Struthio camelus: one gene and its partner. The protein of the gene in region 1 purifies or fractionates together with the protein of each later gene. This does not show direct contact. Links are inferred from orthologs where the notes say so. Each region holds a gene or a part of one and is shown on either strand. Other genes may lie near its edges.

What was found. Proteins that work in one complex are often made in the same cells at the same time.
Region 2: the proteins of CDK14 (region 1) and CCNY purify together in Homo sapiens (affinity purification with western blotting; 3 studies listed by BioGRID and IntAct, with this or other methods). This does not show direct contact. The link is inferred for Struthio camelus from reciprocal best matches to the Homo sapiens genes CDK14 and CCNY.

Annotation. Positions count from the first base shown.
Region 1 is NC_090943.1:26,303,552-26,310,959, reverse strand, and holds the start of CDK14 (cyclin-dependent kinase 14), read right to left. Parts: upstream 3,005-7,408; 5' UTR 2,945-3,004; coding exon 2,863-2,944; intron 1,818-2,862; exon of another isoform or gene 1,695-1,817; intron 1-1,694. UniProt on the Homo sapiens protein: Serine/threonine-protein kinase involved in the control of the eukaryotic cell cycle, whose activity is controlled by an associated cyclin.
Region 2 is NC_090943.1:15,715,718-15,723,248, forward strand, and holds the start of CCNY (cyclin-Y), read right to left. Parts: upstream 3,020-7,531; 5' UTR 1,546-3,019; coding exon 1,392-1,545; intron 437-1,391; exon of another isoform or gene 265-436; intron 1-264. UniProt on the Homo sapiens protein: Positive regulatory subunit of the cyclin-dependent kinases CDK14/PFTK1 and CDK16.

The DNA.
Region 1 (7,408 bases):
ATGAAATACATAATGCATTTGGGTTTTTTCTTCTTTTGGGAAATAGCTTCAACCATTAATTAGCATACTGCTGCACACTGGGGAAAAAAATGATCACTTCTTAAAGTCATTGCTGATACAGTGTCTAAAATACAAAAGACTACTATGTGAGGAAAAAAGTTTTCCTGAAGGTAGTCCATTGAGTATTAAGTTACATGTCCTAGCACAAGAACACAGCCAAAGATAATTAAGGTTCATTTACACTGCTCTTAACAAACAGGATAACATAAACTCTGGTACCCAAATCAGGGGGCCTTATAGCATTGGAAAAAATTGTATTTGGCAACTCAGATACCAAAAATATCGGAGGAGAGTGAGGGGAACGACTAGAAAAGGCTTACCATTCTTAGAAAGATTATTAGACATTCCCTACTGTAGCATGTGAAGGTTTGACTCATTACTTACTTGGTTCAAACATCATCTTTGTTGCTCATATTGTTTTTACAATTATATCAATAATGCTGCTGTGTACTTAAATCTATGAAAACATAAACTTCAGCAGAACAGGTAAGTTAAAAGATCAACAAAGTTGTTTATAATAGACAAACCACAGCCGAAGAGATGATTGACAGAAAGTTCAAGATTAGCTACATATTAAAGTAATAACTTGCTAATCTCACCAAGGAACGCCTCATTACCTAAAAGAGGTGTAAAACCAGAGTGACAAATAGCCAGACAGTTAAAACTTTTTTCTAATGAGGTTTTAGTTTTTTCTCCTTCATTAAAAAATGCAAGTTAAGTACAGCACATGTTTTAACTGAGGATTTCCTGGTATGCAAGTTAGAGTTTTTCAAACAGAGGTTTGTTTTGGTTGGGCTTATGTGTGGCTCTGGGTATAAGGGAGTGGCTCTGTTCAAGCTCCATACTGATAAATTAGATTTTTTGGCTCAAAGTGCAATTACCAGCATAATGGCCAAAATATTAGACCATCTGAAGACAGAACAGTCTTGCTAGTACCAGCTGAGTTTTAATAACAAAAGAACCACAACAAACAAACAAACCAGCCAACCAACCGCATCCTACACTGCTGTGCACACAACGAACTAGCGTAACTGGAAAACATAACAATATGTATCCCTAAAATCAGGCCAAAATTCCCAAGGAAACTGAAAGGTTTCTTAGCTTGTGAAAATGAAGAAGAAAGACGATCACCCAACAGTGCCAATTAAACCATGCAGAAACTATCATGCAGAGAGTCCTTGGTACTGAAAAGACATTAATGGGACTGTCACCGGTATGATAAAGCAGCATCTTCATTCAAGAGATTTTCTTTGCTAATGACTGGCACCATTAGTAAAACCCTCCCATAGTTCTATTGACAAAGAGCGTCTCTATGTGCCTATATGCACACACAAACATGTGACAGAGCAGACCAAATACCTGGCTGCCCTTTTTTCTTTTTTTTTAATCAAAAATAATTAAATGCATTTTACAAGCTTAAGATTGATTACAGCTGAAAGCTATCTTCACATGGGGACGGAGGGACATATAATTGTGACTTAATATTCACTTCTGAACTGAAACTTGGCATATACCCTTGAAATAATTTCTTCTTCTATTTTATAAATATGAACAAGTTATTAAAAGCTAAAGTAATACATTGATCGCATAAGCAAACACATGAAAAATTATAACGCCCATGTACTTCAACACACCTTCCTGATGAGACCGTCAAGAAAATACCACATGCCACAGCTCATTACTGCAGCACAGGCACTTCACTTCCCCTCGCCAGCACAAAGCAGCTCTGAGGCTAGAACGCCATCCCCAAGATGACTGCAAGGGAAAAGCTCTGGCGGGACAAGAGGGAGGGAGCTGACAGGGCTGGGGATGGGCCCTTTTCCGGCTAGGTGCTGTGGAGGGGCTCCCTGCTCAGCAGCATGGCTGCACCATCAGTGGGATCAAGCACGCTGAACACAGAGCTAAGCAAGACACTGTGCCAAAGACCGAGGGAAACATCAGTTGAAGCGTACCAGGACTCTTTGGCATTGTTCTCAGTAACAAATCCTAAGGCAAAATAAACTGGTGTCAAACTCGAACGCAATGCAGTGGCATGAGGGGATGACGTGCTCAGCAGGACCCTGTTCGGATAACACTCTCTCAGCATGCTTTATGTCACTGAAAGAATGACAGGACTTAGCAGGAGATGACAGACAGGCTTCTTTTGTCTAGCCTCCTAAATCACTGATCCGCTGTTATCTGCTTCAGCATCTCATGCCTCAACTTAAAAGAATGTGCAGCCTGACCAAAAAAAAACTAGACCTAGATCAAAACAAAAATAATAATTTGCTTTTCCATATTTTTGTCAAGGTTTCACTTTGGCAATGGAGACAGGCTGGACAATTCTCATTTTTACTTTGTTTTTTTCTAGCCTATTTTAAGCCAGTTCAACTACAGATGCATGCTGTACTCTCTGGGTTGCACACATTGCCGGGAAATATTTGCTATTTTCCAAACATCATTCACAAGAAGCGTTTGAAAAGCCTGGCACAGCACGGTTGTTTCCACCTCTGCAACGCATAGGATACCACCATGCCACTACACAAATAATGGGCAGGCGAGAAGCAGAGAGAGCCTTTTCTCATACAGCCCCGTCTTTCGGTCCAGACTGCTCGGCGGAGTCAAGATACCTGCGCAGGTAACCAAACGGCGGGGAGAGATGCCGGGGCAGCGGGGAGGACGGGCAGCGAGGCGGGACAGCCCGCCACGCAGCCCGCGACCCGCCCGGCCCCCTCGCCGCGCCGCCGCCCCCGGCGGCCCCTCAGGCCAACGGGCAGCGCCAGCGGCCGGCGCGGGCCAACGGCCGGCGCCGCCGGGACTCACCGATTCGGCTGAAGCTCTCCGATAAAGTTCTCCGCAACTTTTTCATCCTGCTGATCTTCTCGGCCGCCTGCGAGTCGATCATGTCACACACGCGGGCGCCCCTCCGGCTCGCCGCCCCCGCCCCGGGGCGCCCGCGGCCCGACGGCACACGCCGCTCCCGCCCCCCCCCGCGCCTCGCCGGCCAACGGACACCCCTGCCGCCGCGCGCCGAGCGCCGCCGCCCCCGCGGGCAGGCGGGAGACCTCCCCGGCTCCAGGGGCTCCCGCCCCGCGCCCGGGCGGCCGCCGAGGGCAGCGGGACGGGCAACGGGACGGCCCCGCCCGCGAAGGCGCCCTACGTGGTGCCCGCGGCAGCTGCTCGGCTCCCCGCAGCCGCCGCGCGGCTCATAGCCCCGTCCCGTCCCCCCTTCCCCGGGCTCCCCCGGCCACAGCGAGACGCGCCGGGGGAATGAAGCGGGGAAGGGGCACGGAGGGAGGAGAGGCGGGGAGGCGGGGGGGGGGGGAGAAAAGTGCGGAGGGGAGATGGAGGAGTGAAAGGAAAGTCCGGCGCGGGGGTGCGGGCACGGAGGGAGGCGGGGAGGGAGGCGGGGAGGGAGGCGGGGAGGGAGGGGTGCGGAGAAGCGCTGAGAGAAAGGAGGAGGCGGAGCCTGGGCGGGCAGGGGAGCCCCGCGCCGCGGCCGGGAGGAGGCGGCCCTCTCCGCCCGCCGAGCCGGCGGCGGGGCCCGGCAGCCGCGACCGCGCCGCGGCGCCTCCGCCGGGCTGTCCCCGCCGGGCCGGGCCGGCGGCTGCCGGGGCGAGGCGGCGGGGCCGCGCCGGGCCGAGGGGGCAGCGAGCGGGGCGGCGGAGGCGGCGGGGCCTGTGTCCCTTCAGGGCGGCGGCCCGGGCCCTGCTGCTGGCACACCGCGAGCGCGGCCGCAGCACGGGCAACCCCGGATTAACGTGGCCTCGCCATCCACCACGCACCAAGCAAAGCAGTGTGGGGCAGCCCTCCGCTGGGGATTACTATAATAGGGTGCTTGCGGCTTTGTAGCCTCAAAGGTGCTTTTGATAGCGGTTGATTAGGGAACAGATATGCAGTGTTCAGCAAGAACTGTCAACCCCGCGGCCTGCGGCGCTGCGGCCTCGTTGTGTGCCTCGTTGTGCCCAGCACCGGCAGCCGCGACGGCCGCCCCGTGCTGCCTCCGGCGCCTGGGCAGCGAGCGAGGCCTGCCCGCGCGCCCGCTGCCCTCCCCAGGCCCGGCGCCGCACGTTCAGAGGCCAAGGCAAGCTGCGTAGGTTTGACGATGCAGGAAGGTGACTTCTTGGCCTAATTTCTGGGTTAGCGTTGAGTGGGATGATAGTTGAGTAGCTGTGGTACGGCTGGTAGAAAAAGGGCACCTTGCCTTAAGTACGCACCCAGCTCTTCAAGTCGAAACCTGGGCTTAGCGTCCACTTACATCTTAAAGGACAGCCAGGTAATATGGCTTCAAACGTGTTAGCCTGCAACTTACTGAGTGTTGAGAGCTTTTGATCTTGTTAACTCAATTGAACCAACGTTATTGAAAAATAAATCAGTTTAACCCATCAAGATGGATGGATATGTCTAGTCTAAACTACAAAGTAGGTACTTTTTGAAAACAATTCATGTTAGGTTACACATTTTAGAACCCCGGTGTACCTAGTGCAAATTGTATTTTAATGCATATTATCTGGTTAAAATGAGCTTGGTTTTTAATGAGGCTAGCTAACACAATTTACTGGGATTAGACTGTGTCCATGCTAGGAGTTGTTAACTCAATTTTAAAAGCACATTTGTCTAGACAAGCATTTAGATGAGTTGAGTTCAAGCCATCTGCAACACTAAGCTCTTTGGGATAGGACCTATCTATTACAATGTGTATATGCAGCAGGAACAGCAAATACGTAGCCTCCTCAGATGGAAACCTACTATGTGTTTATATATGTGTCTCCTATGACACACAAGATCATGGGCAATTATCCCGCTATACAGCAGTACAATAATGCAGTAAAATGTCTTATGCATAAACCCTGAATCTACAGACAGTATGAGAAAATGGTTTTCAGAGGTGCGAACTTTGTTGACCCTGCTAATGTCTTAAAAACAGAAGCTGAAATGGCAGTTTAATGTTGACAATGTCATATTATGCAAGGAAGTAGAGAAAGGGTAGAAACTGAAATGCTGCAGAGAGAAGATGGGGGAGAGTAGAAATAAAAGTTTCGAAGAAACAGACAAGGAGGCTAGAAGGAGAAAAGGAGGGGGAAGGACACAAGCACTTGAGGATATATTATCACTCAGTGCAAAAAAAATGACATTCGAGTCCTTAATAATAGTTAATAGTTCAATCTTTGTTCAAATCTGATATTAATACTGGTGAATATTCCTGCTTTGAGTGGAGAGGAAAATGCTATTGTCATGAATAATACGTTCTAATCTGAAAGATGAAACTAAGCTTACAATTTCAGCCTTGTTCACTTTTTGCACATGCCATTCACACCAGGAGGCCTTCCTGCCTGCCTGAGACTTCTCTGAACAGTACTGTAATTCAGGCTATGGCTTTATTTTGGCAATTAGTGATAGAGTTTCTGAGCGCTTCTGAGAAAACCTGTTATTAACTATGCTTAAGTGACAGATGCTGTCTTACCTACATAAATCAATGCTCCTGAATTTGGAACAACATTCCTATTTTCCCCCCTATTTCTAGGTAAACTTCGACTTTATCAAAAGTGCATGACAAGCCTATTTGCCACACTACTGCTGTGTGTTCTGCTTTTTTTGATAATACAGACGAGTTAGAATTTCTGAGAAGTGTCTGACTTTGCAATTGCATAGGACCAATCTACAAGTTTATGTCAGGGTATTTTAAATTAATGAACATTTTGCCTAAATTAGACATCAGTGTGGTGCCAGTGAAAGAAACCCAGATCTTGTCTTCTGAAAATTTTACAATCTCAGTCCACAGAGATGTTCCACAGACATTCGCCACCCGAGGAAGGATGCCCTTGAAGCAGTGCAGAAGTCTTCGAACTGCACGCTGCATTTTTTATTCTTCTTTCCTCAATGGTTTTTACTTGAAGGAAAAAATTATGTTAAAGGCCGCCTTTGTTCTTTCTCTATCTAAACCTTTTCTGTGGCCAGCGGCACTAGTGTTGCAAATTTATTGAATTCAGGAAAGTGAAATCACTTTTGTAACTTTGATTAAGACCATACATTTGTGGTTCTTCCTTTTCTTCTGTATTTCAGTCACCCAGCACAGGAAAACAATAAGGCAGAAATGTGCAATTAGCAAACCACAGAGATACAGCTATTCTAATGATGACATTTTGCTTCTTTGTAGGGGCAGGCTTTTAGCTCGACTTTTTATGTTTACGTCTTGCAATTTGTGGTGTGAAAAAGTTAACATGACCAAAATGCTAAAGAATATTGCTGTTTGCTACCGTCTTTCACAATAATCTCCAGAGTTTGAACTTGTTTACATGTAAAGCGACTTCTATATTACAAAAAGCTAGGCAGTTTATTTAAAGTGTCCTTTCTCACATCAGCTCCCCAAAGAAACATCCTAAATAAAAACCTGCTGGCAGTTACTCTACACCCTGAGCATCTCCTTACTTGACTTTTGGTAAGAATTTACTACACATCTTGACCTCCACTGCTGCCATTGAGTTAACTGAATCAGTTTGCAAGTGTAGGGATTATCAAGTGCAGTAGAAATATTTGCCAAGATATCAATTGCAAAGCTGGACAACAGGAAACATTTGCCTCAATGCATCATGCAAGCCAGTCAGCCTAATCATTTGTGTTTTGCAGTGAGGTGAGGGTTAGATTTGTTATTTCTGGAGGAAAGGAGGCAGCAGGGTTGGCAGTTTGTTTATTACTGTGTAAACTAACATATTATTTAAAACTATAAGCAGTGCCCTAGCAGGCCTGGCGCGCTCAGGATGACAGAAATCTCTCTGCAGATAAAACAGACGCAGTTGCCCTATTCACTACTTGCAGGGTAAGATGAGATGACAAAAAACAAATCTGTGATGTGTGGTGCAGATGGTGGCTCACAGTGTAATATAAAGATGTGCACTTCCCACATCTCAGGGTAATTGCTGTTGATTTGAAGAAGTATTTTTACATGGTCTGAGCTCTCCCACAGCTCTCTCTACTCACCCCCGCCCCCAGCACACACCCAACATTTCTCCTTAGGGATTCTTGAAAGGCCATATACTTAACTTGCATTCCTGCTCTAGTTGAACTCCTGTTGGGCCAAGTGTTTGAATTTAAAAACCTTAAGAGCAAGTAAACAAACACAGCCTGTCTGTTAAAGAAGTTGTTAATGCCATTGGTTTGGAGTGTTATGTGCACAGAGTATTGTGCTGGGAAAGCAAGCCCTCAGATCAAGTGGCTTACCCAAAGTAAACCGGACAGGTCCCTCAGAGAATGAAATAGTGAACAGGATTGTCAAGTAAAACTTCCCCTTGTCAGGCCTTCCTCTGCCAATGTAAAGCAGATCTTCATAAATCTCCCTGGCTGAGGATGTTCTCTCTTGGGCCAAGCTACT
Region 2 (7,531 bases), about 11 Mb from region 1:
AAAGGAGAAGTGAGACAGGACGCACAGGTGCCCTGAGCCGACAAATGAAACAACCAACCAGTAAGTATTTTTTTTTGACAATTATTAAGATTTTAAAAATTATCTGCACCATATGCACACTTCAGGAAGCACAGATGCACTTGCTATTTCCACCCGTATCCTTCCCCCTACCTAGAAGAAAAAGGCACACCAAGAATAAGACACAAAACCCATGCCTCTCTGACCAAAACTAAAATCTGTTCCTACAGACGTAAAAACTCGTACCGTTAGACAAAGATGCATGCTACGATGCTGGAAAACACCAGTGTTTAAGAATTAATCGTTCACGGATCATCAACTGGTTCTTTCACCTCTCCGATTTTCTCTGACCAGACCACTATGTATTTTTTTCCACCTACTGATCCTCCAATCTTTCAGCTGCAGGTAGCAAAGACACCTGAAAGACAACGCTGTTATTTCCAGAACGTATTTAATCAAACGAAACAATCTTAACCCGCGATGGCTCCCTCTGCCGCGATGGATGATACAATTTTGCCAGCGTGAAGGACTGACTTAACGCACAACTCTGTAAAAGGATCACGGTGCCGCAAGCTACGAAGAAAACGCGCGAGGCGAACCGGCGCGGGCCCCGGCCGCTCTGTCCGGCTTTCCACCGGAGACAGCTCACGTAAGCCAATCCACGGGACAGCGGACCTCCTACCAAGCAACGTTTTAAGGACCAAACGCTTCGACTGATGAAAAACTAAGTTGTATGCACACCTTCAACCACATATTCAAAACTACGCTGCGTTCCGACTAGCCAAAACAACAGGACAACTGGTCATTACCAAACCGGCTGGAATATGAGGTTTGGGGGGGTTGTTTGTTTGTTTGTTTGTTTGTTTTCCGCCGGGGATCCCTGCGGAGACGGAGACCCAGCCAGAAAGTATTCACGGCTACTACAGCGCTGCCTCATCATGACGGCGGCGGGGAAGAAAAGCTCCCGGTCGTCACGGGACACGTCTCCCCCACTTTTACTGCTGACTGGGTTTGTCCTTTAAACCCCTGCGCCCCGCCGAGGCCGGCCGGGCGACAGGGGCGTCGCGCAGTACCCGGGGGCGCTGCCCGCCGCCAACGCCTCCCGCCGGGGCCGCGACCCAGGCGCCAACCGCAGGCCGGGGCCGGCGGGGCCTCGGGGCGGGGCGGGCAGCGCCGCCTCAGGCCGCCCCCGGCCGCGGGGCCGCGGGAGGCGCCAGCGCGGAGCTCCGCGTGGCGGCACCACCGGGAGGGGTCAGGGAGCGCCCGCCCGCCCCAGCCCTGCCCTGCCCCGCTCGGCTCGGCGCGGCCCGGCGGGCAGAGCCCCCCCTCGCGGCGGCCGGGGGCTCCCCAGCGCGGCTCCCGCCCGCCCTCACCGTCGATGTTCTCCCGGTCGCTGATGTGCTGCAGGTTGCAGCCCGTGTCCTCCCGGCTCAGCTCGGCCTCGGGGCGGTAGGACTCCAGGCGGGAGTGGGCATTGCGGCGCAGCTTGGGGCTGGAGGACACGCAGCAGGAGGTGGTGTTGCCCATCTTCGCTGCCCGGCGCCGGCCGGCTCGGCAGGAGGCGAGGGGCGGCCGGTCAGCGGCGGCGGCGGGAGGCCATGGGCGGCGGCGGGGACGAGGAGGCGCGGCGGGCGTGGAGGCTGCGGCGCCCTGCGGCTGCGCTCGCCGGCCGAGCCCCGCGCTGGCTCAGGCTCAGGCTCATGCGAGGAGCCCGGCCCCGCAGCGCGGCCCGCCAGGCGACGGCTGCGGCAGCTACGCCCTCCTCGGCGGGCAGGCAGCGCAGGGCCACGCTAAGCACAGCGCCATCGCCGGCGGCGGGGCTGCCGCGCTCCTCCTCCGCCCCCGCGCAGCCGGCTGGGCCCGCTCCCCACGCACGCAGACACACACACACACACACACACGCGGCAGCGCCGCAGCCTGCGCGGCAGCCGCAGCAGCCGCCCCGGGCGGCCTCCGCTAACCGGTTCCGGTTCAAACGGGCGGCAACGCCTCCTGCCGGAGCGGCGGCGGTGCCCGGCTCGGCCGAGGGGGGCTCAGCCCGCAGCCCGCCGCCCCTCAGGGGCCGCCCGCCCGGCCGCGAGACCCAGCCCGCTTCCTCGGAGCGTTTTTAAGCTTTACAGATTTTTTTTTTCTTTGTTTTTGAACGTCACAGAAACACACAGCCTTTTCTTTCCTAAAGGGAATAGCGGGGCTGCTCCCTCGCCCCCAGGGCCGGCGGTGCCGTCGCTTCGTCGCTGCTCTTGGGGCCTGGTGGGGCAAACTCGCCCACTTGGGGTGAAACGCTGGCGTTTCCGTGGCGCGTCGCCTGCCTGCACAGCTCGGGCAGCAGCCGCCCTCCTTTCGCTCCTGCCGCTGAGCCAAGGCCCAAAACCACAGCAGCTGGGAGCGGCCTGATGCACCACGTACCCCAGGGCTGAATAAAAAGCCTGTACGCGACCACCAGGAGGAAATTTTCACTGGCGACTCATCGCTTTGTAAGAACATAACAGTTCTTTAGGAACGTCTTTTAAGAAATCCTTTCAGACTGACAGGGTCAAAGAAAACGGGCTGAAGAGGAGGAAGGGTGCGCACCCAACCTAGCTAGACCCCCTGCCTTCCACTTTCTCTATATTCAGAGCTTTCCCTATCAAAATCCTTTGTTCTGTATCAATGTGGTACTAAAGATGGAGATGGTCTTTGTTTTTTTTTTTAAATCTCCATAATTTCAGCAAACCTTATGACTGCTGGAGGTCTGAGTCACAGCAGTCCAATGATTCCACTGATCTGATAACTGAAAAACACATTTGTATGTTCACTTATGGCCCCACGTCCTGGGAACCACTGATAACAGCAGCTTCGTTGGTCTGCAAGGCATCTCGTGATATCTGGTGTTTTCAGAAGGTCTGCTCAAGTCAGATGATTACATGAAAGACTTCTAAGTTTTCATGCTAAACTGTTTTCCGACCACACATTGCAAAGAAAAAGGTTGTTAATTTGATGCAAATGTACCCAAGCGGGATACAAAAAAAATCCAATTAAAAAAAAATATTTTGAGGATGTGCTTGCGTAACTCATTTTGTGATAACTGCCACAAGCATGTATGTACAATTGTCTCTGAGTTGCGTTGTCCCTTTGCACTTCAGCAACACAAGATGAATAACATTAGATTTACTGTTTTTTGTGTGCTAGTATCCTCAGTGGTTTGCATCCAAACCAAATGAAATTAAACATTTGCTGGCACTTGTTTAGAAATGTTACCTTGTAGGATATAATGTTAACTAGTGCTTTCCATCACTATTTAGGTCATTGCTTCCTGAGGGTATCTCAGGTGCCTCCCTTCAAGCACACTCTGCTCTCCTGTCTCTAGCTGTCACCTGAGAGCCATCAGCCAGCTCTTCTGTTCAGACCAGGCCTTGGTTAAAACTGTGCTTGTCTCAGCAGTGTTGATTAAATCTCAGACAGGCATAGCAGAGATCAGAAAATTTCAAACAAATCTTTAGTCAAATCTTGTGTTTTGTACATATTTCACAATTCTAATAAGCTTTGAGACAAAACAGGCAATAACATAATAATGGAAATGTTAATTGCATATTTAGATAGCAGAACTAAATAAGACATATTCCTTCATTAACAGGGAACAGTTCAGACTTTGTGTATTTAAAGCAAATATTCTAAAAGTAAAGTTTTGTCTAAAAGTTTTGACACTGTCTCCCATCACATCCTCCTAGGTAAGCTCAGGAAGTGTGGGCTAGATGAGTGGCCGGTGAGGTGGCTTGAGAACTGGCTGGATGGCCGAGCTCAGAGGGTTGTGGTGAATGGCGCAGAGTCAAGTTGGAGGCCTGTGGCTAGTGGTGTCCCCCAGGGGTCAGTCCTGGGCCCAGTCTTGTTCAGTGTATTCATCCATGACCTGGAGGAAGGGACAGAGTGCACCCTCAGCAAGTTTGCTGATGATACTAAACTGGGGGGAGTGGCTGACACACCAGAAGACTGTGCTGCCATTCAGAGGGACCTGGAGAGGCTGGAGAGGTGGGCCGAGAGGAACCTCATGAAGTTCAACAAAGGCAAGTGCAAGGTCCTGCACCTAGGCAGGAATAATCCCATGCAGCAGTACAGGCTGGGGGTTGACCTGCTGGAAAGTAGCTCTGCAGAGAAGGACCTGGGAGTGCTGGTGGACAACAAGTGAAGCATGAGGCAGCAGTGTGCCCTTGTGGCCAAGAAGGCCAATGGTCTCCTGGGGTGCATTAGGCAGAGTGTTGCCAGCAGGTGGAGGGAGGTGATCCTGCCCCTCTACTCAGCCCTGGGGAGGCCTCCCCTGGAGTCCTGTGTCCAGTTCTGGGCTCCCCAGTACATGGCACTCCTGGAGAGAGTCCAGCGGAGGGCTACCAAGATGATTAGAGGGCTGGAGCACCTCTCCTATGAAGAAAGACTGCAAGAGCTGGGCCTGTTGAGCCTGGAGAAGAGAAGACTGAGGGGAGATCTGATCAACGTATACAAGTATCTGAAGGGGGAGTGTCAAGAGGATGAGGCCAGCCTCTTCTCCGTGGTGCCCAGCGACAGGACAAGAGGCAACGGGCAGAAACTGAACCACAGGAAGTTCCATCTGAAGCTGAGAAAAAACTTCTTCACTGTGAGGGTGACAGAGCATTGGAACAGGTTGCCCAGAGAGGTAGTGGAGTCTCCTTCGCTGGAGATATTCAAAACCCGCCTGGATGTGATCCTGGGCAATCTGCTCTAGAGGACCCTGCTTGAGCAGGGAGGTTGGATTAGATGATCTCCAGAGGTCCCATCCAACCTAAATGATTCTGTAAACATTTAAAATGTATTTAAATATAAAGCATTTACAATTTGTGACCACCAGTTGTGACCACGTAATCACCATGTAGCTACCTATTTTCCCGCTTGCAACCTTTTTTCCTGAATTTTTAGTAGATCTTTATTCCACCTCCTTTCACCCTAAAAGCTTGCTGAACTGCACTGTAATGACAAAGATGCTACAACACATATTTAAAGATAAGGTTGAAGAAAAGGAACACTGCTCCAGGGTAATGGTCTCCTGAGCTGGTATCTAAGTACAAACATGAAATAAGGGTCAAGAAAGCATGTTTGCTTTCAGTTATGATTACTTTATTTCAGCTATATTAAGTGTATAATGTAAATGTAATTGTATTATTTGCTAAATGTTAGTACAGTAAAGCAAGAACAGTTCACTACCTTTTTGACTTGCTTAAGTGTCATGCATTTCAAAAGATCTTTTGTGTCTTTTGTTGATTACAGACCATTCTATCCTTGAAGTTTAAGATTATGTATTTTCCTGAGTTTATCCTACATCTGAGCAACTTAATGTACCAGCTAAGGAACACCATGAAGCACCTTTAGCTAAGGCTAAGCCTTTGAAGATTGGTCAGTGCTAAGCTACCTGGCTTTACAAAGTGCCTATCCCTGCCCAGTGGTATTTCTTAAATCCAATAGTGTCTCCACTATAGAGAAAATAATGAACTTTAGTAGGTTAAATATTAATGACGCGACACATAGAATTTTGCACTTGAAATCTTCCTGAACATTGTGAAAAAAATGTAAGTGATTCAAACCACCAGATGTAGGTTACTGTTTTGCTTAAATAACAAGATTCTTACCTATTTGGGGTACCAAAATTGTACCCCAATACAAGCATTGTAAATATTATTTAATCTGAAACTACCTTCTATTTGCAAATCAAATAACAAGGGGAACACAGATGAAAAAAAAAAAAATACTTCAAAATAAATGATGGTGACAACCAGATCCTTTGATTCTGATCCAGTCTTCTAGATAGGTACCCTGAGAAATTTCCACTATACACCTTCCCCACACTGCCACCTAATGGTTAATAGGAGCCCTACTAGTGATTTGAGCATAAGTTACTTCTTAAAATCTGGGCAAACCATACTGTCAGATTTATCATAGAGCTAATTATTATAGGAGATTTACAAACTCTTATTTGCAAAAGCTTAAAATGAAAATTCCTATGTACACAGGTAAAAATATTGGCCTTCACAATAACAGAAAGAATTTTGATGTGGTCCACTTTAGAACATGATTTCTGCAGTCCCTTAACGAATATATTTTGTTCCGGCTGTCATACATTAATGTAGATCTCATGTGTAAAAAATGAGGCATTTAAAAAGTAAAGTATGTTATGCCAAAGAAAATGAGAAGAAAGTGAGAGAAAATCATTTTTGTATTGCTGAAAGGCAAATGTATGTCAAAACAACCTGAAGATATGTGTGTTTATGAGTCCTGCTGCGTAGGATAACATGTTGGAAACAAATACTATGGAAAAAATAAATAAAGAGGGATATAGAAAGTACTAACTAGTATCATATTTATCCATTGTTACTACTCCTTTGACTGATACAGAAGGAAAGGTTTTATCCTCTTCGAATAAAGAGTTTAGAAATATGCCCTTTACCATCTTGGCCATGGAGGGCAGCCATCAGCCATCACAGTTAAGCTAAGCTGTGCAATAGATATTTAGCTTGAAAGGTCAAAGACAAATTATCGGAGAAATGTCACTATTAACCACTCTTAAACTCTATAGTCAATATAATCCATTGTTATGTGTTATTTACTTACCATCCAATTGCATGTCCTTTATTTTTCAGTTTTTCAAAATCTCTTCCAAGATCTTGTGTAGTACTGAATCAAACAAATAGATCTGTATTGGCTCTTTTCTTTTTCAAGTATAGGGATTATGTTTGCTCTTCTTCAGATACCACTTCCAAATTTCAGATTCCTTTGAAATCCTTACTATTGAACTTGCAATTTCTCTTCCTTGGTCTTGAGGTATTTTAAGATGTCAAGTGGAAGTTCTGTGGCTACCATTGCTCTTTAGGATGTTCTGCGGGGCGTGGGTGTCCTGAGGCTGGGTAACCCACTCCCGTATGGGCATTTTGTTTTCAGTGTCATGACTAACTAACAGCTTCCCTTCTTCATTCATACTGTGCACAGATTCCCGGTAACATGTGAATTATTTCACAGTGTCCGTATATCTAAATTTTACCTCACTTCGACTGCATTCTTAGGTAGTTTGAAATCTGTGCCTCATCTGGAATTTTTAATCTGCTATAGAGAGGAGGCAAACCTAAAATTCATTTTGCAGGCTCCTTTGCAGCTGACCTGGCAAAGAACTTAAACCATGAGCAAACAGAGCAACTGAAAATAGCATCATATCCCAAAGGCTGGGGGAATGCATCATACTTGATCATGACAAAGTCCTCTATTGTGTTATTCAACAGAAGGCATTCACATATCACATCTTGGACTACACTTAGGATGCCCGCACCTATGGATTTGTATAGACTACTCCAGTGGCAGGCTTCCCCTTTACGGTTTATGGTTTCTTCTAGGACTGAGACTGTCTTCTCTTTGTTTAAAGGAGAAATCCAACGTTTGCCCAAAAAATGTCCTTTCAGCCCTGTCACAAGTTGTCTGAAGTGCACTCTATGCCTACTCCAGCCATTATCCCATCATCAGAGGCATTTGCTGTAGCACTCAG